4 linked regions of the Stegostoma tigrinum genome follow. The protein of the gene in region 1 purifies or fractionates together with the protein of each later gene. This does not show direct contact. Links are inferred from orthologs where the notes say so. Each region holds a gene or a part of one and is shown on either strand. Other genes may lie near its edges. The genes, in order: mad2l1, cdc27, kif20a and anapc7.

Evidence for each region.
Region 2: the proteins of mad2l1 (region 1) and cdc27 purify together in Homo sapiens (affinity purification with western blotting; 29 studies listed by BioGRID and IntAct, with this or other methods). This does not show direct contact. The link is inferred for Stegostoma tigrinum from reciprocal best matches to the Homo sapiens genes MAD2L1 and CDC27.
Region 3: the proteins of mad2l1 (region 1) and kif20a purify together in Homo sapiens (affinity purification with mass spectrometry; 4 studies listed by BioGRID and IntAct, with this or other methods). This does not show direct contact. The link is inferred for Stegostoma tigrinum from reciprocal best matches to the Homo sapiens genes MAD2L1 and KIF20A.
Region 4: the proteins of mad2l1 (region 1) and anapc7 purify together in Homo sapiens (affinity purification with mass spectrometry; 3 studies listed by BioGRID and IntAct, with this or other methods). This does not show direct contact. The link is inferred for Stegostoma tigrinum from reciprocal best matches to the Homo sapiens genes MAD2L1 and ANAPC7.

What each region holds. Positions count from the first base shown.
Region 1 is NC_081354.1:68,625,698-68,633,016, forward strand, and holds the start of mad2l1 (mitotic spindle assembly checkpoint protein MAD2A), read right to left. Parts: upstream 3,001-7,319; 5' UTR 2,986-3,000; coding exon 2,907-2,985; intron 1-2,906. UniProt on the Homo sapiens protein: Component of the spindle-assembly checkpoint that prevents the onset of anaphase until all chromosomes are properly aligned at the metaphase plate.
Region 2 is NC_081384.1:40,773,038-40,780,865, reverse strand, and holds the start of cdc27 (cell division cycle protein 27 homolog), read right to left. Parts: upstream 3,092-7,828; 5' UTR 2,968-3,091; coding exon 2,941-2,967; intron 1-2,940. UniProt on the Homo sapiens protein: Component of the anaphase promoting complex/cyclosome (APC/C), a cell cycle-regulated E3 ubiquitin ligase that controls progression through mitosis and the G1 phase of the cell cycle.
Region 3 is NC_081366.1:76,636,702-76,644,126, forward strand, and holds the start of kif20a (kinesin-like protein KIF20A), read right to left. Parts: upstream 3,249-7,425; 5' UTR 3,070-3,248; intron 2,706-3,069; exon of another isoform or gene 2,631-2,705; intron 1-2,630. UniProt on the Homo sapiens protein: Mitotic kinesin required for chromosome passenger complex (CPC)-mediated cytokinesis. Following phosphorylation by PLK1, involved in recruitment of PLK1 to the central spindle. Interacts with guanosine triphosphate (GTP)-bound forms of RAB6A and RAB6B.
Region 4 is NC_081379.1:24,282,058-24,289,863, reverse strand, and holds the start of anapc7 (anaphase-promoting complex subunit 7), read right to left. Parts: upstream 3,192-7,806; 5' UTR 3,096-3,191; coding exon 2,995-3,095; intron 1-2,994. Other genes in the region: ube2g1b (ubiquitin-conjugating enzyme E2G 1b), read left to right, coding at 3,558-3,600. UniProt on the Homo sapiens protein: Component of the anaphase promoting complex/cyclosome (APC/C), a cell cycle-regulated E3 ubiquitin ligase that controls progression through mitosis and the G1 phase of the cell cycle.

The sequences.
Region 1 (7,319 bases):
CAGCAGTTTTTAGATAATGTTTTAAGAGGCAATAAAACAAAGGTCAGTTAATTGATCCGTGATGACAATTGTGGATGGAGGAATGAGTCAGAACAGGCTCCTCACACCTTTTCAATAAAGGATGTAGAATCTTTAATATTCACTTATAAAGATTTGAAGGAATACAGGCTCAGACATTTGATGGCCAGAGTTCTTGGAACAGAGTAAATTAGAGGACCACGTGGAATCCTCAATGCTTCTGACTATGAGAATTGCTCAGGAAACAAATTCTTTAGGGTAATTTGCACGTCCAGAGCCCTTTGAAGAACCCATTAAAAGAGGGGAAGTTGAAGAATCCCAACTTGCATGAGCTTTACAGATACTAAAGAAAAATGGGTTAAAAAATGTAAATGTAATTCCCACTTAACTACTGACCATCCCTAATTCCCCACTGCACCACTCCCTACATTACACTGCACACCACCAAACCCCAACCGTGTTGGGATGATATACATACTCTCACTGACCTGAATGTGAGATGTACCTTCCTTCTCCTCCTGATCTTTTACTTCTGGAAGTCACATCCTGCCCCTTCCTGAAATCTGAGTCACAAACCCAAGCTCCCACTGATGGGCCAGGTACCCCTCACTCTGCCTGATAGTCTAACTTCCAACACACTCAACCCCAGGCCTGATGTTCTCCACCCACCAGTCAGCCCCAAGACATCCCCCTATCAAGAATTAAACAACCCACAGACCCCAATTACCCTAAACACTCATTCACACACCAGGTACATGCATACTTACCTATTCACAGGAGCTGTCAGCAGTGCTTTGCCTTGCTGGACATTTAAATACCAGACCATGGCACACTGACTACGGCCACAGGGATTGGGGTTTTTAATGATTATTTTCCTCACTGCTGGATTCACAAATTTTTGGACAGGTTCATAACAGGAAGCCCCTATTGGGAATCTTGAGATTTCTTTACATAAAAGATAAAGCAAATAAATTTTAATACAATTGGGGATGGAAATAGAACTTCCAAACCCAATTAGCAGAGCAAAGCAACACAATAATGTATGCATGGAATTGTTATAATGCAACACTCTGCATGGGCGGCATGGTGGCTCAGTGGTTAGCATACAGTCTCACAGCGCCAGGGACCCGGGTTCGATTCCAGCTTTAGGCGACTGTCTGTGTGGAGTTTGCACATGCTGCCTGTGTCTGCGTGGGTTTCCTCTGGGTGCTCCAGTTTCCTCCCACAGTCCAAAGATGTGCAGGCTAGGTAGATTGGCCATAGTGTTCAGTGGTGAGAGAGTCTGGGGGAGATGCTGCAAGGGACGGTGTGGACTTGTTGGGCCGAAGGGCCCGTTTCCACACTGTAGGGAATCTGACCTAATCAATTTGGATCACAAGCCAAGCTTCATGCTTCAGTCCACAAATCTCCCAGCCTAAAAAATAAATGCATAACTGGATGAATAATCTGAAAAACAGAAAACAATTGAAGTTTAAACTGAACACCCTCAAAACATAACCCAATTTCTATGTTCATAATTTGGGCCACTGCTATATTTGAATATTTTAGCACAGTTTATTAAGCTGGCTGTAACAAATGACTAATCGTTAGCATTGCAACAGTTCTAAACAATGTCACAGTTAACATTCTGACAAATGATATTATTTGTAAAAAGCTTTCCTAATATTTCTGAGGACTTATTTGTATTTTATCCCACAAAGGCAGAATTAAAGTAATCATTTTATTTTCATTAAACGTCATAAAACAAAGAATTGCAGATGCTGGAGATCTGAAACTAAAACAGAAATTTACCAGAGAAGCTCAGTAGGTCTGACAGCATCTGTGGGAAGAAAGTAGAGCTAATGTTGAGTCCAGTGACTCCTCTTATAAAGAAGATGCTCTGATGAAGAAGCACTGGACTTGAAACATTAACTCTGCTTTCTTCCCACAGATGCTGATAGACCTGCTGTGCTTCTCCAGCAATTTCTGGAGAGGTTAGATTTCTCGGCTATTTCCTTGATCACCATTAACAATTTTCCCATTTCAAACTGTAATGAGCCTGCATTTGTCTTCACTTTTTTTCACCTTTTTACATGCTTATATAATCTTACTGCAAAATTTTCAGCATAGCTTATGGTTTTACTCATTTTATTTTTGCCCTCAAAATCAATCTCTAGGTCATCCTTTGGTGAATTCCAAATGGCTCCCATGTCTCAGATTTACTACATTTTCTAATAAGTTCACACAACTCTTTGGATTTAATACTATTCCTAATTTCCCTTACTGGCAACAGCTGAGCTTCCTTTGCCTGAGCATTGGAATACATTCATTTGTTTCTTTAATATTCGCTATTACCTAGTCACCATAATGCCTAGTAAGCAATCACAGTTAACTCAACACTAATATCTTTCTAGTTTCTGTTCTTTAGATTCCATACCTGGTTTCAGACTGGATTACTTCATTTCAAAACCTGATAAAGGAATTCACGTAATGGACACTTGTCTACAATTAAAAAGGTACCCATAAAATTATTATGGCTGTGAATGGCTCAAAACTATCTTTGACAGCACAAAGAGCTCACACAAAGAATAGGTTAACATCATTTGCGAGCGCAGAAAGCAGTAGCCATTTTTAAAGATGTGTAATAGACACAGTATATTTCCTGTAGTGCCAAGTTGATCTCACAGAAAAGCCAACCCACTATTTTTGACCAAAGTCTTGAATTTTCCCATATATTTTACTAAAATTTCACCTTAGTTATTCACAGATAATTTATATTTTAAGGCAATTGCTGGACGGTGTTCATTCTCATCTGTCAAGGAAACTGCCCAAAATGTACCCTTACTCCAACGATGGGGATGCAAGTTGCATTCAACATTTTATTTTTCAAACAGTAAAATGGTAGTGACCTGTAGCTGGAGATAAAGTGCTGCCATCCAGTTTCAGGTTTGGTGGGATTTTGTTTTCAACTCCAGGATACTGTTGCATTTTAATAGCAGGTTTTTTTTATTGGGTTTCATTTCTTTGTCAGAGTTTCAAAAGAATGAACTCAGTAATGGAGAGAGCTCGCATCCACTTATTGTTTCACCGAGGGTGACAGAAAGCTTTTGGACACTGGAGCAAAAAGGAGAAGATACAGGGTCATTTTGTGAAAGAATGATCAGGTTTTTATGTACGAGGAGAATAATCTGTTTGTTCTTATCTGCTGACCTTAAGAGTTTGAGAGAGAGCATTCGATGATGGTATGACAGATTATGGCTCTCACAGCCCTGATCATTTACAACAATGCTGGATCACAGAAGTATCGGCAACTACTGTAATTCGTGATCTTTTTTCCTTTATTTGTTGAGGGATCAATTGGGCTCCTGTTAATGATGTGGTACCCATGTAATAGTCGACCCCATAAATGTAACCTTAAGAAATAGTCTAAAAAACAGCATTTATATTTGTGTAAAAGACAAGACACAGAGGAGCAAAGTAGAGATAGCTGATAAATACTGGCACTGAATGAATAGTTCAGAAGTCAAGATAAAACACTTTTAGCCTGAAATGTAACACCGTGACCTATTCTGGGCTGGATTTGCTACCCTAGAGTATCATTTTTGCTATGCCTATGTTAATCTGTGTCAGATCGGGTATATTTTTAATACATTGACAGTACATCAATACAGGATTAACTATCTCACCCTGTGATTCTCATTTACAGTTAATTTTCAATCAACCTTTTCAATACCAGAAGAATAGCTTTTGCAGCAGTATCTTTAGAATGCTGCATACAATTCTTGTCACCCTCCTGTACAGAGGATGGTGTGAAACTTGAGGGGGTGTTGAAAAGATTAACAAAGATGTCATCTAGACTGGAGGGTTTGAGTTATACAGAAAGGACTGAATAGGCTGGGGCCTTTTTCCCCTGGCAGAGGCACTGAGAGGGTGACCTTATAGAGACTTATAAAGTCATGAGGAGCATGGATGGGGTGAATAGCCACTGTCTTTTTCCTACAGTGAGAGAGCCCAAAATTACAGGACACTGGTCTAAGATGAGAGAGGAAAGATTTAAAAAGAACCTGAGGGATGACTTCCCCACACCCCCTCCCCACACAGAGGGTGGTAAGTGTATGGAACAAATTCCCAGCTGATGTGGAACGGTTCTAACAATAAATGTCCAAAAACACTGACAGATCACTACTAAAGCTATATGAAACATAAGCCACATTCATAGCCAAAATTATCTACTTTTAGAAATAACTCTCTGTGCAAACAACTGCAGCATTTAAAAGGCATTTGGATTTAGTATATGACTATGAAAGGTTTAAAATGAATATGGACCAAATGCTGGCAAAATCAGTCTAGGTCAGATTGGGATGCCTGGTTGATGTGGACAAGTTGGACTGAAGAATGTGTTTCCATGCTGTATAACCATTAAATCTGTACAGCACAGCTGCATGACTGCATGAAAATAAAATCAATGCACACAGGACTTGGTTGTGACCAACTGACATTACACCTCCATCTATAAGACAGGGGAGGCTGCAGCTAGGTTAGCGTTCAGAGTACTCGATAGCAGTCAATCCTTTCTGATTGCACAAAATCAAATCTTGGACAGCCGCTGCTCAATATAACAAAGTGTGGAGCTGGATAAACACAGCAGGCCAAGCAGCATCTCAGGAGCACAAAAGCTGACGTTTCGGGCCTAGACCCTTCATCAGAGAGGGGGATGGGGAGGGGGTTCTGGAATAAATAGGGGAGGGGGGGGGAGAAGAGACGGACTGAAGATGGAGAGAAAAGAAGATAGGTGGAGAGGAGAGTATACGCGGGGAGGGGATAGGTCAGTCCAGGGAAGATGGACAGGTCAAGGAGGCGGGATGAGGTGGCAGGTAGGAAATGGAGGTGCGGCTTGAGGTGGGAGGAAGGGATGGGTGAGAGGAAGAACAGGTTAGGGAGGCAGGGATAAGCTGGGCTGGTTTTGGGATGCAGTGGGGGGAGGGGAGATTTTGAAGCTTGTGAAGTCCACATTGATACCATTGGGCTGCAGGGTGCCGAAGCGGAATATGAGTTGCTGTTCCCTGCAACCTTCGGGTGGCATCAATGTGGCACTGCAGGAGGCCCATGATGGACATGCTGTCTGAGGAATGGGAGGGGGAGTTAAAACGGTTCGCGACTGGGAGGTGCAGTTGTTTATTGCAACCGAGCAGAGGTGTTCTGCAAAGCGGTCCCCAAGCCTCCTCTTGGTTTCCCCAATGTAGAGGAAGCCACACCGGGTACAGTGGGTAGATACAGTATACCACATTGGCAGATGTGCGAGTGAACATCTGCTTAATATGGAAAGTCATCTTGGGGCCTGGGATGGGGGTGAGGGAGGTGGTATGGGGGCAAGTGTAGCACTTCCTGCGGTTGCAGGGGAAGGTGCCGGGTGTGGTGGGGTTGGAGGGCAGTGTGGAGCGAACAAGGGAGTCACGGAGAGAGTGGTCTCCCCAGAAGGCAGAGAAGGGTGGGGATGGAAAAATGTCTTGGGTGGTGGGGTCGGATTGTAGATGGCGGAAGTGTTGGAGGATGATGCATTGTATCCGGAGGTTGGTGGGGTGGTATGTGAGAATGAGGGGGTCCTCTTGGGGCGTATGTAGCAGGGGCGGGGTGTGAGGGATGTGTTGCGGGAAATGCGGGAGACGCAGTCAAGGGCATTCTCGATCACTGTGGGGGCGAAGTTGCGGTCCTTGAAGAACGTGGACATCTGGGATGTACGGGAGTGGAATGCCTCATCCTGGGAGCAGATGCAGCAGACGTGGAGGAATTGAGAATAGGGGATAAAATTTTTGCAGGAGGGTGAGTGAGAGGAGGTGTATTCGAGGTCGCTGTTGCAGTCGGTGGGCTTGAAACGGACATCAGTGTCTAGCTGGTTACCTGAGATGGAGACTGAGGTGTCCAGAAAGGTGAGGGATGTGTTGGAGATGGCCCAGGTGAACTTGAGGTTGGGGTGGAAGTTGTTGGTGAAGTGGATGAACTGTTCGAGCTCCTCTGGGGAGCATGAGGCGGCGCCGACATAGTCATCAATGTAACGGAGGAAGAGGTGGGGTTTGGGGCCCATGTAGGTGTGAAGAGGGACTGTTCCACGTAACCTACAAAGAGGCAGGCATAGCTTGGGCCCATGCGGGTACCCATGGCCAGCCCCTTTGTCTGTAGGAAGTGGGAAGAATCGAAAGAGAAGTTGTTGAGGGTGAGGACGAGTTCGGCTAGGCAGATGAGGGTCTTGCTGCAGGGGGACTGGTCGGGCCTGCGGGACAGGAAGAAGCGGAGGGCCTTGAGGCCATCTGCATGAGGAATACTGGTGTATAGGGACTGGACGTCCATGTTGAAAATGAGGTGTAGGGGGCCAGGGAACTGGAAGTTCTGGAGGTAGTGGAGGGCGTGGGTGGTGTCACAGACGTAGGTGGGGAGTTCCTGGACCAAAGGGAAGGAAACGGAGTCCAGATAGGTGGGGATGAGTTCGGTGGGGCAGGAACAGGTGGAAACAATAGGTCGACCAGGGCAGGCAGGTTTGTGGATTTTGGGAAGGAGATAGAAGCGGGTGATGCGGGGTTGGGGAACATTAAGGTTAGAGGCTGTGGGTGGGACGTCCCCTGAGGTGATGAGGTCATGGATGGTGTTGGAGATGATGGTTTGGCGATCACTGCTCAATATAGTTTGTCTTTTTAAAAATCCAGCACACGCTATAGAAATTCATTTGTCACAGGTGATGTGGCTTGCAGAGTCTATATATAGATTAAAGTTATCCATTATTGCTGGATTACTACAATTAGTGTTGTTTTACCTAATCATATTGTTTTATCACGTTATGGGTCCACCAAATCACTACTAAAATGTTTTAAGAAATACAAAGCACGTTCGTACTCAAAAACACCTACTTTTGTAAATAACCCTCTGTACATACAGCCTAGCATCAAAAGCTTCAACATTAAAACTTGCTTAACCTACATAACTGACTGCAGCTCTAAAGCAAACTATTGCTGGTAAATGCCTTGTGGCACCTCATTGCCGATATTTTGAGCACAAGCTTACCTACTTTGCTTCATGTCACACTTAATTTTGCTGAGAATGACCAAACTGGAAGTCGGGGTGTGGGGAGGAGACAGTTACATTTACAGCAACTGTGGACAAGCTTAAGGGCAAATTTCATTCCACTTAGAAGCATTCTCTGACACTTCCGCCATGTACAATCCGACACCAGAGTCATTTTTCCATCCCCACCCTTGTCTGCCTTCCACAAAGACCACTCTCTCCAGGACTCCCTTGTCCGCTCCACACTCCCCTCCAACCCCACCACACCT
Region 2 (7,828 bases), on another chromosome or scaffold:
GTGGGACTCACCAGTCTGTAATTTCCTAGTTCAACTCTACTTAAAAAGTGCTATCATATTTGTTATCCTCCAGTCTTCTTGCACCCTCCCCTCCCTGAGGCCAGAGAGGAATTAAAAATTTATGCCAGTGCCCCTGCAATTTCCCACAGCAACCTGGGATGGAATTCATCCAGGCCAAGGGATTTGTCTGTTTTTAAGTCTGACAGAGCCTCCAATTTCCTTTCATTTCAATTCAATTCCAATCATTTCGTATGTTACATTGCGCAACTTCCTCAAATAATGCCTTTTCCTGAATTCTATACCGACATTCTCCTTGAGGATAAAGACTGAAGTGACATATTCATTCAACATCCTTTCAATATCCTGCTGCTTCACACACAGGTTGCCCCCTTGGTCCCTAATGGGCCCTATTCTTCCCTGAGTTAACCTCTTCCCTTTAAAATATTTATAAAATGTTTTAGGATTCTCCCTAATTCTGTTTGCAAATAATTTTTCATGTCCCCCTTTTGCTCTTCTAATTGCTTTAAAGTTGCCACCTGAACTTCCTGTACTCAAGTGCCACAACTGAATTGCTCCCGTTAGACCTGGCCTACTCTTGTTCCTTATCCAGTCCTGATTTGCCCTAAACATCCAGGATTCTCAGAACTTATTGCCCCTTACCCCTCAAGGCTAAGTGCTGGGCCTGTAGAATGTACTTCATTATCACTTGAGCTACAATACAGAAGTACAGAGGGACACATCTTGGTGTTCTTATAGAAAAGGGATTAAAGGAATGCAGAAGCATTACCTACAAAAGGTAGTTACCACAGTAGAAAGGTTTCAAATGACAGTCCATTTTCAGCAGCTCAGCACATGCGCCAGGCCCAAGACCACCAATTGTCCTGTTTTGCTCCAGCCTCCAGTCTGCTCCTCAATGGCACTCAGCAGCCACAAAGCTAAGTTGCACTTGACCAGGATTCATCCCTTAGCCCCTCCAAGTATTCTCCCCAGCTCCTTTCTGAATATCACCCATTGCTTCGCTGTAGATTTACCTGAAAGGCGATGATCCCCATCCAAGGTTAGTAGGCAAGAATGGCATTGGTGACTGCAATCCCACCTAACTGAACATCTTTGAAGTACCAGGTCCTGAATAGATCAAAGTTCTCCAGATGTGGCCTAAATCAGAACTTGATATAAGTGTAACATAACTTCTAGCCCTTTTCATTTCAGTCTTATACAGACTATAGATTGTTCTAATCTTTTAAAGTTATTTTCAAACCTGTCCATTAGTTTCTGATTGTTTCTGCATATGAAACCCTAAATGTCTAAGATCAGCCATGATTAGCTTTCTACAATTTGAGTAACACCTTTTGTTTGAAATGGAACTGACTCTGACTAGTTTCTGTGCTGACAGAGAAACCATCAATCACCACCTCCTCGTCATTGGCCCAAAGCTGCTGGATGCTCCTCAAGATCAGCAAAGCAGTTACAATACACCGTTCAAAAACATACAAAGCTGCTTGTAGGCTAGGACAAAGGACACAAAGTACACACTTGCAAAGATATTGCATTTTCTGCAATTCTGTGGCCAGTTGAATAATATTTTGAAATGTAAACTTGTAGGAAAAGCAGTCACCAGTTTTCACACAGCAAGTTGGCACGAACAACAACTAGATGAATGATCAGATCATCTACTTTAAGCAATGTCAGTTGGAAACTAAAATACTCAAAATTCAATCAAAATCAACATTCACTCAAATCAAAGTTACAGACTTGGGCCTCAACTTCCATTCTATCACTATTTCTTGCCCTCTCCTTTCTTTCTCATCCCTTTGATCTGAAGAACTTTTTCCTCCAAAAACTGACATGTATATTTTCCATAGCATTCAAAGTTTATATTCACTGAACGAGCACAAGCTGATGTTTTTCTGATTGCAACTAAGAAAAATCAGCAACTTGGCAAAATCAGTCAGCTCACAGTAATTCCAGACTCGATCAACCAACTTGACAATGTTCATCATGACACGCAAACTAATCACCACAGATCATGCAAGCGTCACGTGTTGTCCATTTAGAACAGTTTTCTAAAGGTCATGCATCTTTGGAACTCTCAAGATCATCCAGCAGATTCTTCAAATGCTTTAAAGTCAAGGCAGAAAACTTCTTGTTAAGCAACAGGGTGAAAAGTTATCAAAAAAGTAGGTTAAAAACAGATCATCCATGATCTTATTGAAAGACAAAAGAAGTTCAAGGAGCTGAATGATCTCCCCTGTTGCTTGCTCATATGTTTCTACTACCTGCAGAGTTTGTAATCATTAGTACTCCATTCTACATAGCTGAAAATTTTCTTCCCCCATATACACAATGTTTCGAGCCAATTATCTCAATCCTACCTCATGAAACTTCGCTGTTCAGAAGTGAACATTCCAACACCCACCATTACACTCTCAGCACCTACTAAACAGGAAGAAAGCAGTTAAATTCCAACAGGACCATCACCAAAAACTAAGTATTTTCTGTTTCTCTCGAAACCTGCAGGATTGCCTTAAAGCTCTGCGGGGAAGAAAAAGGATAGCAATCTTCATACCGAATAGGCGTGATCATCCTGTTAACAAAACATGCCTAACTGTTGTATTTGCCTCAAAATCGTTTTTTTTAAAAAACCAAGGAGTAAACTAGGCCTGACAGAATGCTGGATTAACATAAATCCACCAAACAGTACCGCTGTTTGGAAAACAAAAAGCTTTTCCAATTCCAGAACCACGGCTCTAATACAGACTTCATAGCCAGTTTAAAAACTCAATGACAATCAGTCCCCTCGCACCCCCTCAAGATACACAGGCCCACTCCTCTGGCCGGACCGCGCCAGGCCGGGAAGGTAGGAGCAGGCGGCCCACTCTTCACACACACGGGTCGGACTTGTAAGTGACAGCGGGCCTGGAATCCCCAGGGCCGTTTTACCTGAACGGGTTCCTGCAGCACTGTCATGATGTAAGAACCAGTCTGTACCAAGTAGCGCGGCTTCTCATCACACACAGCTCGGCCCAGGATTCAAATTTCAACAGTCACAGCCACCGTAGCCTAACGGCCAGCAGGACGACGACACACCGGACGGAAATCACCGAGTTATGCCGGGAATTGCCGAACCTTGTCGGGAATCGCCGAACGCTGCCGGAAGTTGTCGCCTCACGACCGGAAATTAGTTAGGTGAGAGTTGTGAGGAGTGAGAGTGGAGGGCGTATAGTCCTGAGTCCATCCCAGCTGATGGTAATATTCTGCAGGTCACCTTCTACGGTGATGCTCACCTCGTGGACCGTAAGATTTAATATTGCTTTTGCTTCCTTCGCTGCTGTGAGCAGTAACTGGAAATTTCTAAAGAATTGCCAGTGTATTGCAAATTCTTTTCGTGCAGATGGAAACCATTTGGCCCATTGTGCCTGCATTATCACTGCGCCATTTTGCTGCTTTTTTCAACGTAAGCCTGCATATCGTTACGATTTAAATAATCGTCTGACGCCCTCTGAACGCTCTGAATCTAGCTCCTGTACACTTCCAAACAGTGCATTCCAGGCACAAAAACAGAAATTGTTGCAAAAGCTCGGCAAGTGTGGTAGCATCTGCGGAAAGAAATCAGATTTACGTTTCGGCTTCAGTGACCCTACCTCAGAACTCTCTTCCTCATTCCAGACCCTCATTCCTTGTGTGATGGAGTTTTCTTCGTGCCCCACATTTGCTGTGTTTGCAAATCATTTCACTACTGTAGTCTAGGTCTGAAGCAATCAAGTTGGGTGACCCTGACTTACACAGGAAATCTAGGTACAATTTTCACAAAACTATTAGGGATGCCAAAGGACAATACCAGGCTCCAACTCCACACTGCATTGACTGTGACTCCGGCATATGCAGTTCTTACCATCTCCAGGTGATTGAAAACCCAAATGTGAAGCCTTTTCCCAGGATACCCACCCTGAGGAAGTTGTCCTCCTCACTCCAAAAAAATCAAGGATCTCTCCCATTGCAAACCACGGATGACTCTTCAGCCCTGAAGCTCTTCAATTACATACTAAAACAAATCCATTACTTCAACCTGGGCTTCTTCCTGTATCATAATGACACCACATGCAAATTGGAGAAACAACACCTCATATTCCACCTTGGGAGCCGATAGTCTAATGGCTTCAACATAGATTTCGCCAGTTTTAAAATAGAACATAGAAAAGTACAGAACAGTACAGGCCCTTCAGCCCATGATGTTGTGCCGTGGAATATTCTAATCCAAAAATAAAATAACCTAACCTACATTTCCCTCAATTCACTGTTATCTATGTGCATGTCCAGCAGTCGCTTAAATGTCACTAATGTCTCTGCTTCCACGACTACCACTGGCAAAGTATTCCATGCGCTCACAACTCTCTGGGCGAAGAACCTCCCTCTGACGTCTCCTCTATACCTTCCTCCTAACGCCTTAAAACTATGACCCCTCGTGGCAGTCAATCCTGCCCTGGGGAAAAGTCTCTGGCTCTATCCATGCCTCTCATTACCTTGTACACCTTGATCAGGTCACCTCTCTTCCTCCTTCTCACCAGAGAGAAAAGTCCGAGCTCAGTCAACCTCTCATAAGACAAGCCCTCCAGTCCAGGCAGCATCCTAGTAAACCTCCTTTGCACCCTCTCCAAAGCCTCCACATCTTTCCTATAATAGGGCGACCAGAACTGGACACAATATTCCAAGTGTGGTCTCACCAGGGTTTTGTAGAGCTGCAGCATAACCTCACGGCTCTTAAACTTGATCCCCCTGTTAAGAAAGCCAAAACACCATATGCTTTCTTAACAACCTTATCACCTGGGTGGCAACTTTGAGGGAGCTATGCACTTGAACACTAAGATCCCACTGTTCCTCGACACTGCCTAGAATTCTGCCTTTAATCCTATATTCAACATTAAGGTTCGACCTTCCAAAATGCATCACTTCGCATTTATCCAGGTTGAACTCCATCTGCCATATCTCAGCCCAGCTCTGCATTCTGTCAATGTCTCGCTGAAGCCTGCAATAGCCCTCGATACTATCAATGGCACCTCCAACCTTTGTGTCATCAGTAAACATAGTAACCCACCCCTCAACCTCCTCATCCAAGTCATTTATAAAAACTACAAAGAGCAGAGGCCCAAGAACACAGCCCTGTGGGACACCACTCAGCACTGACCTCCAGGCAGAATACTTACCATCTGCAACCACTCTCTGCCTCCTGTCAGCCAACCAATTCTGAATCCAGACAGCCAGATCACCCTGTATCCCATACGTCCTGACTTTATGAATGAGCCTGCCGTGGGGAACCTTATCAAATGCCTTGCTGAAGTCCATGTACACCACATCCGCTGCTCGACCCTCGTCAACCTGTCTCGTGACTTCCTCAAAGAACTCAATAAGATTTGTAAGGCATGACCTGCCCCTCACAAAGCCATGCTGACTCCCTTTAATCACGCTATGCTTTTCCAAATAATCATAAATCCTATCCCTCAGAATTCTTTCCAAAACCTTGCTGACCACAGACGTATGACTGACTGGTCTGTAATTTCCAGGGATTTCCCTATTCCCTTTCTTGAAAAGAGGAACAACATTTGCCTCTCTCCAATCTTCTGGTACAACTCCCATGGAGAGTGAGGAAGCAAAGATCTTTGCCAGTGGTTTAGCAACTTCCTTTCTGGCTTCCCGGCGCAACCTAGGATAAATCTGGTCTGGCCCTGGGGACTTATCAATCTTAATGTTTGCAAATCTCCCCACCCCCAGCCTCATCCCGTGTCCAAGCCTCCTCCTTGACCTGACACAACCTGTCCATCTTCTTTCTCACATATAACACAGTGTGGAGCTAGAGGAATGCAGCAGGCCAGGCAGCATCAGAGGAATCGGAAAGTTGATATTTCGGATCAGGACCTTTCTTCTTTTTCTGAAGAAGGGTCCCGACCCGAAACATCAACTTTCCTGCTCTTCCAGCTCCACACTGTGTTATCTCTGACACCAGAATCGGCAGTTTTTACTATCGTCTTTCCTACCTATACACCCCACCCTTCCCACTGACCAATCCCCACTACCCTGCATCCACCTATTACCACCTTCCTCCAGCCCCACTTCCCTCCGTCTATTTCCCAGCTCCCTTCCCCCTCCCCAGTCCTGAAGGGCCCCAACCTGAAACGTCGGCTTTGCTGCTCCCTGATGCTGCCTGACCTAGAGTTCCTCACTGTATTGACTCTGACTCCAGCATCTTCAGTTCTTGCTATCTCCTAAACTAGAGTACCAGACTAACCACACAAACACACATCTACTGTGTCAAGGGTTACATGATATAATAGGCTACAAAACAAAGCTGAATACAATCGGTAACAACAATGCTTGTCTCCCCGATGAGCTCAATGCATTCTATGCTTGTTTTGCACCAAAAGTGGTGAAAAATTGTCACCTATGAAAACCAGCCTTCCTTCCATTGAATCTGTCTACAGTTCCTGCTACCTCAGGAAAGCAGCCAACACAATCAAAAACCCCAGCTATATAAATGCCAAATGAACTGTGGATGCTGTGAGTCAGGAGCAAAAACAAAGTTGCTGGAAAAGCTCAGCAGGTCTGGCAACATCTGACCCTCCCTCAGAACCCAGTTATATTCTCTTCCATCCTCTTCCAGGCAGAAGATACAAAACTTTGAAAACACAGACCAAATGATTCAAGAACAATTTCTTCCTTGCTGTTATTTAACTTATGAACAGACTTAGAGTTACAGTGCCGTATAGCTTTATCGCGCCATAGTGATGTGTACCTTTCAGTCCAACCCATCTATGCAGACCAGATATTTGCCAGCATTTGGCTCATATCCCTCTAACCCTTCCTATTTATACACCCATCAAGATGACTTTCAAATGTTATCATTGCAGTAGCTTCTACCACTTTCTCTGACAGCTCATTCCATACAAGCATACCCTCTGTGTGAAAAGGTTGCCCCTTAGATCCTTTTTAAATCTTTCCCCTCTCACTTTCAACCTATACCCTCTCATCTTGTTTATTAGAGTTGATCGTTCTCTTCATCTCTGTAACTGTATTCTGCATTATGTTCTATTACCCCCCGATGTACTTACGAATGGTATGATTTGACTGGATAGCACATGAAACAACACTTTTCACTGTACTTTGGTACATGTGACAAATAAATCAAATCCAATCTTGATCCTTTTTTTAAGCAGCAACGATTCCTGCCTGTTTACTCTGCCCAGAGCTTTCAAGTTTTCATATTTTTTCATTAATGGGATGTGCTTGCTGTTGTCTGGACCAGCACTTGTTACTCATCCCTAAAGAAGGTGGTGGTGAACTGCCTTCTTGAACCACTCCAGTCCTTGTGTCATTGTTAGGAAGGGATTTCCAGGATTTTGACCCAGGAACCCTGAAGGAATAATGATGCAGTTCGATGGCCGGTTGGTGAGTGGCTTGTGGTGTTGCCAAGTTCCATGTTCTTTTGAATGAGGTTGTCGGCTTAGTTTTCTCTCCAGGGAAAACAGTCACAATCTCTCCAATCTGTTGTCATAAACTGAAGACAACCATCCCTGGAGCTATTTTTTTGAAATCTCTTCTGCACTCTTCCCTATGTATTCACTTCCTTTCTAAAGTGTGGCACGCATAACTGAATACAAACACCAGCCGAGGTCTAAGTTATGCCTTTACTTAAAGTGAGAAATCACACAACACCAGATTATCCTACAATTTTATTTGAAATCACAAGCTTTTGGAATGCTGCTGCTTCATCAGCTCTGAAAGCTTGTGATTTCAAATAAAATTGTTGTAGGATAATCTGGTGTTGTGTGTAAACCTG
Region 3 (7,425 bases), on another chromosome or scaffold:
CACCCACCCCAAGCCGCACCTCCATTTCCTACCTACTAACCTCATCCCACCTCCTTGACCTGTCCGTCTTCCCTGGACTGACCTATCCCCTCCCTACCTATATTCTCCTCTCCACCTATCTTCTTTTCTCTCCATCTTCGGTCCACCTCCCCCTATTTATTCCAGAACCCTCACCCCATCCCCCTCTCTGATGAAGGGTCTAGGCCCGAAACGTCAGCTTTTGTGCTCCTTGGCCTGCTGTGTTCATCCAGCTTCGCACTTTATTATCTGTGAAGGAATTTCATTGCTCAGAAAAAGTAGAATTCCGGTCATTCACTATTACGGGGAGCTGTGATGGCTAGATCACAAAGTATTTAAAGAGGAAATAGATTTTTAAAAATTGGAGAGTGGGTGGCTACGAGGAGCTGACCAAAAGGAGGGTTGAAGTTTGGGGAAGATCAGCCACGATCTTAAACAATGATGAAGCAAATGCCGAGGGCTGAATAACCTACTCCTGCTCCTATTTCTTATGTTCTTATGGTCCATATGGCTCACATGCTTATCGGTAAATTCAGAGAAAATTTAATAGATATAAACTAATAATAATCAAAGATAATGACCCCAAATCAATTTCTCATCATTAGAGAGAACAGGGAGCTTCTCCATCTGAATTCAAAAGCAGAATGTATCTTCACAGGTACAGGATGCATTACTACCGTTTCAAAACTTTTGGTTGCCTTGTCCAAGTCACATGGCTCTAGATTGCATTTCCTTGCTGAGACAAATGTGCAAAATTCCACAAAGAGATGTCAGAATGTGCAAATTTGAAAAGCACAAATTGATTCTGAAGCTACCTTTATCCATATGTAAGCTAGGTTTTCATAAAGATAACTGAAAACTTCACTGACAAGTTGGTTAATAAAAACAAAAATAAATTGAAAATAAAACTATGCACATCAAGAACTTGTATGTAAAGGAGCTTCATTCAATAATAACTGTATTCACAGACTATACAACATAGATATTTGGTAAAGTCAACAGTAAAAATTGTTTGAATAAAATTTCACAAGGATTTAAACCAGAGGACAATTAATCTCAAACTGCAAAAACTTGAATGCCACCAAGATAGGAAATTACATTTCCTTTAATTTCTAACAGCACAAAAAAATGCATAATCTCATATTTATTACTCTGCAGGAAGTGATACCCATGGGTCGTCATTAGAATCAGACATCAGTCTCTCATGCTAATGAACCCAGTCACCCAGAGACACAAGTGCAGAAAACCGACTTCATGCTTTTTTTGCTGGAGGAGTCTTAAATTGATTAATTTTTCTGATTTGCCCTGCAGCTTCTATAGTAGCCTCAGCCCATCTATAAAAGAATCTTTTGATTACATAAAGTAAAGTTATACTGAGTGGCAAATCACAGAAATAAAGCACATCTTTCATAGATCAAGAGCCAACATTACAAGTGCACACAATCCATTGCATATTACACAAAAATTGAGGACATGCTGCCCATAATTCTCCACATTAGAAAAATTTAATGCTCAAGAAATCACAGACAGCATGCCCAAGATTTGTCAATAGAGTCACCTAGCAGGCAAGGGTCTGTAAGAAACAGACAGACATTCAGGGAACCAGCTCAAGTGCCTCTTTATATCTTAGGCTGAATAAAACCACTGCCCAAGGGCAGAATAGTCAAACTCAATTATTTTGTAGATCACTTACTTCCCTGTTTTTTGGATGTGGCCTCTTGCTGTCAAATTGTTTCCACATTTGCTTGCTGTGGAAGATCACCTCCAGTTGCATCTAGTTACTATTCATAAAAAGTTTTGAAAACTATAATCCTTAGAAATATATATCCAGCAATAAACTAAACAAAAAAAAAATCAGTCAACCCAGAGATTAGCACCCTATAGGGTAAACACCACAGCAACCCATGCGATAGCTCAGCAAGCGTGTATTCTTCTACTGGTGGGTTATTAAATCCACATAATGCAAATCCCATCACATGTAAGAATTTAAAATCAGGTTCCAAAATTTTCAAAACAAAAACAGACTACCACCTAGATGCACATACCTTTTTAATCTCTTAAAGCAACATGGCCAATTGTTAAGGAGTCAGCAAAGTGTATAGCCAGGCCCACAGACAGATCAAAGGAAAATACCAAACCACGAAGAGCCACCAGTATCATAGGGCAATAGAACCAAGATGATCTAGAGGGCATACTTAAGGTGAAAGGACAGAGACTTCTAAAAAAAAGACACAAAGGGCAAATTTTGTTTTTTTTAAAAACAGGGGGTGCCTCTCATGCACAATGAACTTTGCGGAAGTGGTGAATATGAGTACATCTACAACAGTTAAAACACACTGGATAAGTAGCTGAATAGGAAAAGTTCAGAGGGATATGGGCCAGGAGCAGACAGGTGGGACTGGTTTAGTTTAAAAATTACATTCAGCACGGACTGGTCCGTTTCCATGTTGTAGGGCTCTATGTCACAGCAATGAAGGGGGGGCGTCGTTCAGCCTATATTACCAATACCAATCCACAGACACTCTTTCTAACCTAGAGAAGTTGGGGAGCATATCGCCGATGAAAACATCCCAACCCTTACTCAAACAGCAAGTAAAAGAGAACACCCCTACCTCAAACGGGCAAACACACAAGAGAGTCCAGCTGGGTGAATAGTTAACCTTCTTCTGGATGTGGAGGGAGAGGTTGGGTGCAGAATGGGGCACAAGGGGGTAGGGAAGAACACCCGGTGGGCTGGGGATTTGGGTGGGTTGGTGGGGGGGGGGGGGGGAGGTTGCGGAGGAAAGCAGGCACACCGGGTGGGCTGATGATGGGGAGAGGGGGCGGTTGCTGCTGCTGCCGCTGCTGCTGCTGCCTGCCCTTTTGTTGACTGAGTTGCGTGTAGGGCCTGCAGCCACTGACTCATCGCCCGGGCAGGAAGAGGGACGCCGCCATGAACGACGTTATGAAGCTGCAGCGCAGACCGGGGGGGGGGACGACCGCCTTGTTTCGTGTGGGGCGCTCTTTCCTACCGTTCGGGCTGTACCTGAGGGAAGGAGATAGAGACCATACCTGTGGTGAGAGTCCCAAGCGAAGACAGCACTAGCCTGACAGTAATCCGACCCCGCGCACCGCTCGCCAACGACTCCCTTGTTTTCAAATAGCGCGCCGCTGTTCCCGTCCAACGGCCGACCGCGTCCCAGTGACCTCACTCCGCATGCGCGCCCGGGGAAGCACCCTCCTTTGTCTTGGTGTTTGGGGTGGGGGGGTCATTCCTTGCGGCTGCGCAGTCCCTCCCCTCCCCGAAAGAACGCTGCTCACGGCTGTGCGCATGTCCACCCACGGCGTAGGTCACGCCGGTCGCTAGCGCATGCGCACTTCCAACATCAGTACTCTTCTACCTGTGGTAGTCTCAGTGTTTGGAGGAAGACAGGTTCTATTTGTTTCATTTTCATAGTTGTTCCTTCGTGGAGATAAATGGCAAGATTTCTCTCAGGGAAATGTTATTTTTCCACTTGCCCATTGTTTGCTTTATAAGTGAGATAAATATTAACCAGGTATGGACTGCTTTGTGAAGTCCAGTAGAGTAGGTTGGCTCTGTGTCCATCGGAGTTTAAAAGAATAATATGCGACCTTATTGAAGCATATAACATTCTTAAGGAACCTGACAGGGTCGATGCACTAAGGTTGCTTTCCCTTGTGGGAGGGCATCATCTCAAAATGAGGGGGCTGCTCATTTAAGACAGGGTTGAGAAGGAATATTCTTCTCTCAAATGTAGTGGAACTCTGAATCCAGAGGACTTTTGAGGCTGAGTAATTTAGGATATTCCAGGCTGAGATAATGATTAATAAAAAAAAACACTAAGACCATCAGGGGTTATGCGAACACATCAGGAAAGTGGAGTTGAAGGTTATCAATCAGCCAAGAATGGTGGGCAGACTGGATAGCCGACTCCTGCTTCTATGTCTTATCTTTTTCACAGCTTGAAAGAGGAAAGGAAACCACTGTCAGTTTGGAAGCCGTGCCTCAATTTGAGAGGTAATTTTAAGCATATTTTCCTGAAGTATTCATAGAATCCCTACAGTTTGGAAACAGGCCATTCAACCCAACAAGTCCACACTGAACTTCCAAAGAGCATCTCACCCAGACTCACCCCTATCCTTCTAACTCTGCATTTACCATGGCTAATCCACCTAACCTGTACATTCCAAGACACTATGGGCAGTTTAGTATGGCCAATCCAGCTAACCTGCACATCTTTGGACTGTGCGAAGAAACTGGAGCACCCAGAGGAAACGCAGGCAGAACATGCAAACTCCAAACAAACAGTCACCCAAGAGTGGGATCAAACCCAGGCCCTTGGCACTGTGAGGCAGCAGTGCTAACCATTGTGCCACTGTTCCAAGGCTATACGTTATAGTAGCTGTGACTGAATTTATTTCAGTGCAATGTAAATATTGCAATTAAAAAAGTGTTACAAAGAGGTTTGGAAAAATAGCAGAGCTAATAGAACCTATCAGAAATCTGATCCAAAGATAGTAAGAACTACTGATGCTGGAGTCAGTGATAACACACAGTGGAGTAGGAGGAACACAGCAGGCCAGGCAGCTTCAGTGGAGCAGGAAAGCTGACGTTTCTGGTCGGGACCCTTCTTCATTTTCTGAATTAGGGTCCCAACCTGAAACTTCAGCTTTCCTGCTCCTCTGATGCTGCCTGGCCAGCTGTGTTCCTCCAGCTCCACTCTGTGTTATCTCTGAATCCATCCAACCTATTTGTAGTCCAAATCAAGACAGCTGGAATTAGTGCAGTTTGTAATATAGGAAATAGGAGAATTTGTTTCATTCCTTAATGGTTTTCAGGTGTTGCTTATAAGACTAGCATTTATTGTTCACCCCTAATTGCTGTTGAACTGAGTGGCTTAATTCTTAGGCCATTCAGACTGCAGATGAGTCAACAACATTGCGGTGGGTCTGTCATTTTGTATCACTCAGACAAAGCAGGTTTGACTGATTTTTCTCTTCTGTGGGACATCAGAGAACAAGATGGGTTTTTATGATAGTGATAGTAATGGAGACAACAAAACTGGAACTAGTTTTCTTTAATATTCCAAACTTATTAATTTATATTCCACCAGCTGCTGTAACTCCAGAATATGGGCCTGGGCCTCTGGATTGCTATACTAATAGACAATAAACAATAGGTGCAGGAGTAGGCCATTCGGCCCTTCAAGCCAGCACCACCATTCATTATGATCATGGCTGATCATCCACAATCAGTATCCTGTTCCTGCCTTATCCCTATAACTCTTGATTCCACTATCTTTAAGAGCTCTATCCATCTCTTTCTTGAAAGTATGCAGAGACCTGGCCTCCACTGCCTTCTGGCCCAGAGCATTCCATATATCCACCACTCTCTGGGTGAAGAAGTTTTTCCTCAACTCTGTTCTAAATGGCATACCCCTTAATCTTGTTATATCACCAGTACATCACTGCCACCACTAAATGTCTGCAGTAACTGAGAGGATGTAGGAAGGGAGAGTGCTAACAGAAATAATGGATAGTAGATTCTCAGCATGAATGGGAATATGGAGAAAGGGTGCTAACTAAACTGATTTAGTGCCAAGATAATAAAGTGTGAAGCTGGATGAACACAGCAGGCCCAGCAGCATCTCAGGAGCACAAAAGCTGACGTTTCGGGCCTAGACTCTTCATCAGAGAGCGGGATGGGGTGAGGGTTCTGGAATAAATAGGGAGAGAGGGGGAGTGGACCGAAGATGGAGAGAAGAGAAGATAGGTGGAGCGGAGAGTATAGGTGGGGAGGTAGGGAGGGGATAGGTCAGTCCAGGGAAGACGGACAGGTCAACGAGGTGGGATGAGGTTAGTAGGTAGGAAATGGAGGTACGGCTTGGGGTGGGAGGAAGGGATGGGTGAGAGGAAGAACAGGTTAGGGAGGCTGAGACAGTCTGGGCTGGTTTTGGGATGCAGTGGGGGGAGGGGAGATTTTGAAGCTGGTGAAGTCCACATTGATACCATTGGGCTGCAGGGTTCCCAAGCGGAATATGAGTTGCTGTTCCTGCAACCTTCGGGTGGCATCATTGTGGCACTGCAGGAGGCCCATGATGGACATGTCGTCTGAGGAATGGGAGGGAGAGTTGAAATGGTTCGCGACTGGGAGGTGCAGTTGTTTATTGCGAACTGAGCGGAGGTGTTCTGCAAAGCGGTCCCCAAGCCTCCGTTTGGTTTCCCCAATGTAGAGGAAGCCACACCGGGTACAGTGGATACTGTATACCACATTGGCAGATGTGCAGGTGAACCTCTGCTTAATATGGAAACATCTGCAGTTCCCATTATCTCTGATATCCATTGTACCCGGTGTGGCTTCCTCTACATTGGGGAAACCAAGCGGAGGCTTGGGGACCGCTTTGCAGAACACCTCCACTCGGTTCACAATAAACAACTGCACCTATCAGTCGCGAACCATTTCAACTCCCCCTCCCATTCTTTAGATGACATGTCCATCATGGGCCTCCTGCAATGCCACAATGATGCCACCCGAAGGTTGCAGGAACAGCAACTCAAATTCCGCTTGGGAACCCTGCAGCCCAATGGTATCAATGTGGACTTCACCAGCTTCAAAATCTCCCCTTCCCCACCGCATCCCAAAACCAGCCCAGATCTTCCCCTCCCCCCACTGCATCCCAAAACCAGCCCAGCCTGTCTCAGCCTCCCTAACCTGTTCTTCCTCTCACCCATCCCTTCCTCCCACCCCAAGCCGCACCTCCATTTCCTACCTACTAACCTCATCCCACCTCCTTGACCTGTCCATCTGCCCTGGACTGACCTATCCCCTCCCTACCTCCCCACCTATACTCTCCTCTCCACCTATCTTCTATCTTCTTTTCTCTCCATCTTCGGTCCTTCTTCCCCTCTCTCCCTATTTATCCCAGAACCCTCACCCCATCCCCCTCTCTGATGAAGAGTCTAGGACCGAAACGTCAGCTTTTGTGCTCCTGAGATGCTGCTTGGCCTGCTGTGTTCATCCAGCTTCACACTTTATTATCTTGGATTCTCCAGCATCTGCAGTTCCCATTATCTCTGACTTAGTGCCAGGTGACTTTGTGAACCTGAGTATCGGATGTTGGTTTAGTAAAAATCCAAATGTTACAAAAGACCAGTTTTTTTTTCACTAACGTACTCTAGAGGCAAATACTAATTTGCCAAAAATCCTCTTACAAGCTACAAGAAAAGACCAATAGGTGCCTTGAAATATCCACACTCAGACCCAGGAAACTTGATTACTCTTAAGTTGTGAAAGGGCTCCTCAGCTCACTCCAAACTATAGGACAATACTGACGCTCTGAAACATCTCTGTACCAGCAGCTTCAAAGTTTTTTAAAGGAAGAACATTACTGGATAAATTAATTCATC
Region 4 (7,806 bases), on another chromosome or scaffold:
ATTCCCAATTGTAATGACCATTGTCAAGTAGACAGGTTAACATTCAGATAATGAACAAATTTGAAGCGAAAAAGAAAGAAGATAATTCACTCAAAAAGTGAATTTTTTTTCTGGTAAAAGCCACATCTTAAAAGAACATCCAAAATTATCTGTCAGATATTATAAAAGTTTTTTTCTCTTTGTTCATGGCACGTGGGCACCACTGACTAGACAAGCATTTACTGCACATTCATAGTTGCCCAGAGGGCAGTTAAAAGTCAATCAAATTGATGTCATATGTAGGCCAGACCAGTTGAAGATGAGTTTCCTCCTCTAAAAGGGCATTAGTGAACTAGTTCAGTTTTCCCAACAATTGACAATGGTTTCATGATCATCATTAGACTCTTAATTCCAGGTTTTTATTGAATTCAAATCTGCAACGACATGATTCGAACCCAGAATGTTGCCTGGGTTTCTGGATTAATAGTTTGGCAATAATACCATGCGGTCATTGTATATGAAGAGCTTTAAGGGAGGTAATCAGAAACATCTGCCTTTATCTCTTCTCTTTCCAGAGGTTTAACAGTTTGTTTCAAGACACCATCATGAGTCGTACAGCACAGACACAGATCCTTCAGTCCAATCAGTCTAACCCGAACATAATCCCAAATTAAACTAGTCCCAGCTGCCTTCTTCTGGCCCTTATCCCTCCAAACCTTTCCTCTTCTTGGTTATCCAAATGTCTATTAAACACTGTAACTGTGCCACATCCACCACTTCCTCAAAGTTCATTCCACGCGTAAACCACCCTCTTTAAAAATTTGCCACTCATGTCTTTTTTAATCTCTCTCCTTTTTCACCTTAAAAATGCATCGTTTAGTGCTGAAATACCCCATGCTAGGGAAAAGATACCTACCATTAATCCTATCTATACCCCTCATGATTTTATAAACTTCTATAAAGTTACCTCTCAACCTTATATACTCCAGTGAAAAAAGTCCCAGCCTATCCAATCTTTATAATTCAAACCTTCCATACCCAGCAACATCCTGGTAAATCTTTTCAGAACCTTCTCCAGTTTAATAATATCCTTCATATAAGTGGATGACCAGAACTGCACACAGTGCTCCAGAAGCGGTCTCACCAATGTCATCAACATGAATTCACAATTCCTTTAGTCAAAAGGACTGAACAATGAAGGCAAGCGTGCCAAACACCTTTTTAAACCACCATGTCCATCTGGTGATACAAACTTCACAAAATTATGTACATGAACCCCGAGGTCCCTCTGTTTACTACTAGAATGGTTGCATCTTTTAAGACCATAAGACCATAAGACAGAGTGGAAGCAAGGCCATTCGGCTCATCGAGTCCACTCTGCCATTTAATCATGGCTGATGGGCATTTCAACTCCACTTACCCGCACTCTCCCCGTAGCCCTTAATTCATTGCAAGATCAAGAATTTATCAATCTCTGCCTTGAATAAATTTAACATCCCGGCCTTCACTGCGCTCCATGGCAATGAATTCCACAGGCCCACCACTCTCTGGCTGAAGAAATGTCTCCTCATTTCCGTTCTAAATTGACCCCCTCTAATTCTAAGGCTGTGCCCACGGGTCCTAATCTCCCCGCCTAACGAAAACAACTTCCCAGCGAAACACAATGAAATATAACACCAAAATTCAGGTAAATGTAATAGGCAGGTTGCAGAATCAAAGTCCTAGTTACATTGAGACAAACAGCTTTCTGGCACTGCTGATGGCGGAAGGTACATGAACTATGCATCAGAATTCCTCCAATTCTCTGATCAAATTAATAGAACTTTCAAAATTGATATGGCAAATAGGACCCTAGATTTAACATTTTACCCAAGGTCAATTTTTCCAAATACAAACTAGTCCATCCCCACGAATAGATCAACAAATTGTAATAAAAAGCATCCTTAAAAAAGAAAACAGTCCATCATACTTTACATGGTTTGGAGAGAAACTAGTATCAAGCTATGGTGAGAATTGCAAAGGTTATTGAAAGTTTAGCAATAATGGCTTTACCCAAAACATTAAAAGAAGGTCGAAAGCACTGCTACTAGAGGTGAAGAAAAGTAAGGGTTGGAGGTACAAAAAGCCAGTCGGAAAAAAATGTAGAGATTGGGATAGATTCAAACAAGCAAGACTTATATTCAGTTGGCAAGTTTGAATTCAATGTGTTGGTGGGGACACAAAACCAACATAGATTATACTTTTGAATCTTCAGAATCTATTTAATCTCTATCAAAAATCTATTTAAACTTACAAATCAATTGAGCTAGCATCCACTATCATTTGTAGAAGAGTTCCAGACCACAATACTGTATATAAAGTAGTGTCCTAATATCACCGTCTCTTGAAAAGCTCAATCAAATCACCCCTCAACTTTTAAATTCCAAGGTTCACTTTAAAAGAAACCTTAAAAGAAAAGTTCCTTTTTTGTTTACTTCTTCCTTGCAATAAAAGTATCATTTGAGTAAATCTATATTACACTCTTTACAAGGTCTATAATCCTTTCTAAGGGATTATGCCCAGGACTCTGTTTTATTTCAGGTAATGGTCTAACCTGGGCCTTAGTTAACGGAGCATGGCTTCTACCCCTAGTATTTTAGTTCTATGTTTATAAAGGCCAACATTCCCTTCTGATTGAAGTCATAAAAACTCACAGAAGCTTAAATCATTCGGAGGTGACAATACTATATGGCTGGAACACGTAATGATAATACAATCAAAGGCTTGGACTGTCACACTCCATTCACCATTCAGTTTACACCAGTGGTACCTATGAACCAAGACTTTTTTCTTTCACCCTTCCACTTTGAGACTAGAACAAAATCATTTTAAGCCTCAAACTTTTAACAGGTTCGGAACTTATTTGGAGATGCGGGAGCAAACTGCATTTTAAAACCATACCATGTCAGGGGGAGAGGATTCGGAACACATAGAATCAATTGAGAGAGAACTCGCCAGGTAAAACCAACCACTTACGGATTATTGTCGCTCATAGTCAGTAACAGGCTACTAAGTAATCTCACGTTGGAGTAAAGGCCAGCGGCCACCATATCCCGAACGTGGTCAATAACGTTCATCTTTTCTTCTGTCAGATCAGTGCTCTGAGTGAAGACGACGCTAAAGCAGTAGCACTAACAGCATCAAAAATGGCGCTGTGGACCTCCCTGCAGCTAGAGCTGCTCACTTTGCGCCTGAATTACTATGATTCACCGTGGCAGTGCAGTGTATTTTTTTTTCGTAACGTACTTAATAATTAAAATTATATAGCTACGTTTGTTTGCCAACCGCGAGATTAGAAATAGCCGTTGAAGTAAAGCGGCACATGGCGGGCAGCTTTGCGTTGCTAGGGGGAAGGCGCATGTGCGGCTTTGATGCCGGAGCCGGGATGTGAGCAGCCTGTAAGGCCGCAGGCCGAGGCTTGGTATAGCGTGGGCCCGCAAGGCTTGGAGCGGTTGCTTCTGACTATCTACCTGACCCACCTACTTTACCTTTATTATTTGATTTTCATATTTTACTTGGTTTGATCCGATCCTTGAGTAATGACAGACCAGTCCGCCCTGCTCCTTAGGAAACAGTTGGCAGGTACGCGACGCCCTTGGGATCTCAAACTTTGCTGCAGATGTGAGTTGTGGCTGGAAGGACTGTTGTTGCTGCTGAGTCTCGACCCCCTTTCAGCTCCCCACTTCCTTCTGACTATTTTCGTTTTGGCTATTACTATATGTTAATTGTTAAAAGAGGAACATTTGGGACGTTATTTATGTTATGTCATCGGTCGTCAGACTCTTTTAAAAGTCATTGTTTCGTAACTTTTTTTACCGCTTCCCCCTCTCCTTCCCTCCGCGTTATCGCTATGACAGACTGGCAAAGTGTCTTCCTGGAATATTTTGCGGCCACGGGACTGCAGTCATTTTTGGAAGATTGGCAGTTTATACGCACGAATTTTACAGGCGTCAAAGTTATAGAAAATCCAGATGTTGTCAGTCTGACGCGATTGTAAAATCGAAAAATCGTTATGGCGCTTCACAGCCGCGAACGCTGACATGATGAATGTGTTCTTACTTTTGACCAGATTGCATATCTTCTGTTCGCTTTCACTGCGTATTACAGTTGCCTGTTGCTAGTCCCCTGAAAGACTTGAATTGTTACATGTTATGGAGTCATAGTCATACAGCACTGGAACAGGCGCCTCGGCCCAACTTGTTCATGCCGACCAGGTTTCCAAAACTGAACTAACCCCATTTGAGATAATGGGAACTGCAGATGCTGGAGATTCCAAGATAATAAAATGTGAGGCTGGATGAACACAGCAGGCCAAGCAGCATCTCAGGAGCACAAAAGCTGACGTTTCGGGCCTAGACCCTTCATCAGAGAGCATTTGCCTGCGTTTGGCCCATGTCCCTCTAAATCTTTCCTAGCCATGTACCTGTCCAAATGTCTTTTAAATACCCACCTCTAACACTTCCTCTGGCAGCTTATTTCATATATGCATGTTCTATATACCCTGTCTGAAAAAGTTGCCCCTCAGGCTCCATGTAAATTTTCCCCCTCTCACCTTAAACCCTCTAGTTCCTCTCTTCTCCCCCCAGCAAGGGAGAAGACTTTGGCTATTCACCTTATCTATGTCCCTCATGATTTTATAAACCTCTACAAGGCCACCCCTCGGTTCCTACGCTCCAGGGAAAAACATTCCAACCTCTTCTTATAACTCAAACCTTCTAATGTTGGTAATGTCTTTGTAAATGTTTTTGCACCATTTCCAGCTTAATAACATCCTTTCTACAGCAGGACAAGCAAAATTATATGCAGTACTCCAAATGTGGCCTTACCAATGTCTTGTATGGTTGTAGCATGATGTCAAAACTCCTGTACTCAGTGCCATGACCAATGAAGGCATACATGCCAAATACTGTCTTCACCAATCTATCTACCTGTGTTACCACTTTCAAGAAATCATGTTTGCACCCCTAGGTCTCTCTGTTCAAGAATACTCCCCAGAGTGCTGCCATTGAGTGTGGAAGTCTTGCCCTGGTTTACCTTACCAAAATGCAACACCTCACATTTATCTGAATTAAACTGTATCTGCCGTTCCTTGGTTCACTGGCCCAGTTGATCAAGATCCCATTGTACTTTTGGGTAACCTTCTTGACTGTCCACTATACCACCAATTCTGGTGTCATTGCCAAACTTACTAACCATGCCCCCTATTTTCTTATCCAGATTGTTTACATAAATGATGAACAGCTGTGGACACAACTGATCCATTTGACACACTGCTGATCACAGGCCTCCAGTCTGAAAAACAACCCTGTACCACCACTTTCTGTTCCTACCATCAAGTCAATTTTGTATCCAGTTGGCTAGCTCTCTCTGGACCCCATGTGGTGTAATCTTACTTACCAATCTACGATTGTCAAAGGCCTTGCAAAAGTCCATGTAGACTGTTCTGCCTTCATCTACGTGGTCATCGCTTCAAAAAACTCAATCACATTTGTGACACGTGATTTTGCACAAAGCCATGCTGACAATCCGGGATCAGTCCTTGCTTTTCCAAGTGCATGTACTCCCTGTGTCTCTCAATCCCCTCCAACAACTTACCCACTACTAATATTAGGTTTACTAGTCTGTTATTCTCTGTCTTTTCCTTCACCCTTTCTTAAATAATGGCACGTTAGCCACCCTCCAGTCTTCCGGCACCTCACTCATGCCTGTCAATGATACAAATACCTCTGCTAGGGGCCCTGCAGTTTCTCCCCTAGCTCCTCTCAATCTCTGGTGTTACACTGGATCGATACCTTTGTCCTTTGAGAACCTCTAGCACCACTTCTTCTGCAATGTGGGCTTTTTTTCAAAACATCAGTATTTATTCTCCTGAGTTCCTTAGCTTCCATGTCTTTCTCCATGGTAAATACTGACAAGAAATATCTGTTTAGGATTTCACCCATCTTCCATGGCTTCACGCACAGATGACCTTTAAGGGGCCCTATTCTGTCCCCGGTTATTCTTTTGCTGTTATTATACTTGTAGAATCTCTTTGGATTCTCCTTTATCTTAGACATTAAAATTATCTCCTGCCCCCTTTTCGCCCTTCTAATTTCATTCTTAAGGTACTCCTATACTCCCTATACTCCTCAAGGGATTTACTTGATCCCAGCTGCTTATACCTGACAATTGAGGTAGCATGGTGGCTCAGTGGTTAGCACTGCTGCCTCACAGCATCAGGGACTTGGATTTGATTACACCCTTGAGCAACTGTGTGTGGAGCTTGCATGTTCTCTATATGTCCTCCCACAGTCCAAAGATATGCAGGATAGGTGAATCAGCCATGCTAAAGTGCCCACGGATGAGGTAAGTTAGGTGGATTGGTCATGGGGGAATGCAGGATTACAGGGAATAAGGTTGGGGGGAATGAGTCTAGGTGGGATGCTTTTCGGGGGATTGGTGTCAAGTCAGTGGGCCAAATGGCCTGCTTCTGCACTAGGGATTCCCTGATTCGATATGCCTCCTCTTTCTTGACCAGAGCCTCAATGCAGTAGTCATCCTGTTCCCTACACCTGCCAGCCTTGCCTTTCACACTAATTGGACCATGCAGGCCCTGAACTTTTCCTTTGGTATGCTTCACATCAGAATTAAAATATAGTTATCCTCTTAGCTGTGAGAGTTGATGGATAGCATTTGGTCTTAAAATGCTGCAATACAGATTGAGGTGTGTTTTCATTCCATTCCTACTGTGACCATGAACTACAGTGGTTAAACTACTGAAATGGTAGGTAGAAGAGAAAAGTCACATTTTGATTTAATGATTTATTACTGGACAAGTTAGATCCCAAACTCTGAAATCTAGCTTGATCATATTTTGTTTATTTTTAAGAATCCCCACTGTGTGGAAGCAGGCCATTCAGCCCATCAAGTCCACACCGACCTTCTGAAGAGCATTCCACCCACACCCATCCCTTTATTTCCCACCCTAGACACGATGGACAATTTAGCATAGCCAATCCACCGAACCTGCAAATCTTTGGACAGTGGGAGGAAACCAGAATACCTGGAGTAAACCCACACAGACAATGTGTAAACTCCACAGAGGCAGTTGCCTGAGGCTGGAATTGAATCCAGGTCCCTGGCGCTCTGGGGCAGCAGTGCCAACCACCGAGCCACTGTGCTGCCTAATGAAGTAGCCTTTCTCTGAAATGCACACACACAATGCTACAGTTTCATTTCACATAAAACAAGTTTCATTACTCAAAAGAAATGAAGATAAAATAGAATAAGCCATTGAATTTTACATAAATGTAAATATTTCAAAACTCAAGGTAAAATACAATGTCATTAATCCCAAAATCACTCCTCCTTAGTACTCATACCAGAGATAATGCACTTCTATTTCATATTTATAAAGTTTAATTTAACTGTGACTTCAGTGTCCTGTCTTGAGAATGTGATCACCTCTTGGAGCCTTCATACACTGAACTTAGAGTTTTTTGGCTTCAAATAATCCCTTTATGTTTTAAACTAAATACTTCTGGTCTGGAACCTTAAATTCTGTTCACTGAGGGAACATATTTCTTAACAGTCCTAAATTACCTCCCTTTCTCAAGAGCAGCTGTTTTACACATCTAGCTTTGGCCAAGACTTCTGCAAACTGCTCCCAACTAAAACTAAAAATCTTTTAGCTTTCCTAGTTATGAGATGTTTCTTCTAAGCTCCCAAAAACTGCAAAGTAAAAGCGTAATGCATAATCCTCTTGTTCACTTGTAAACTCTCCCAATGTAAACAAATTCGCAATCGCCT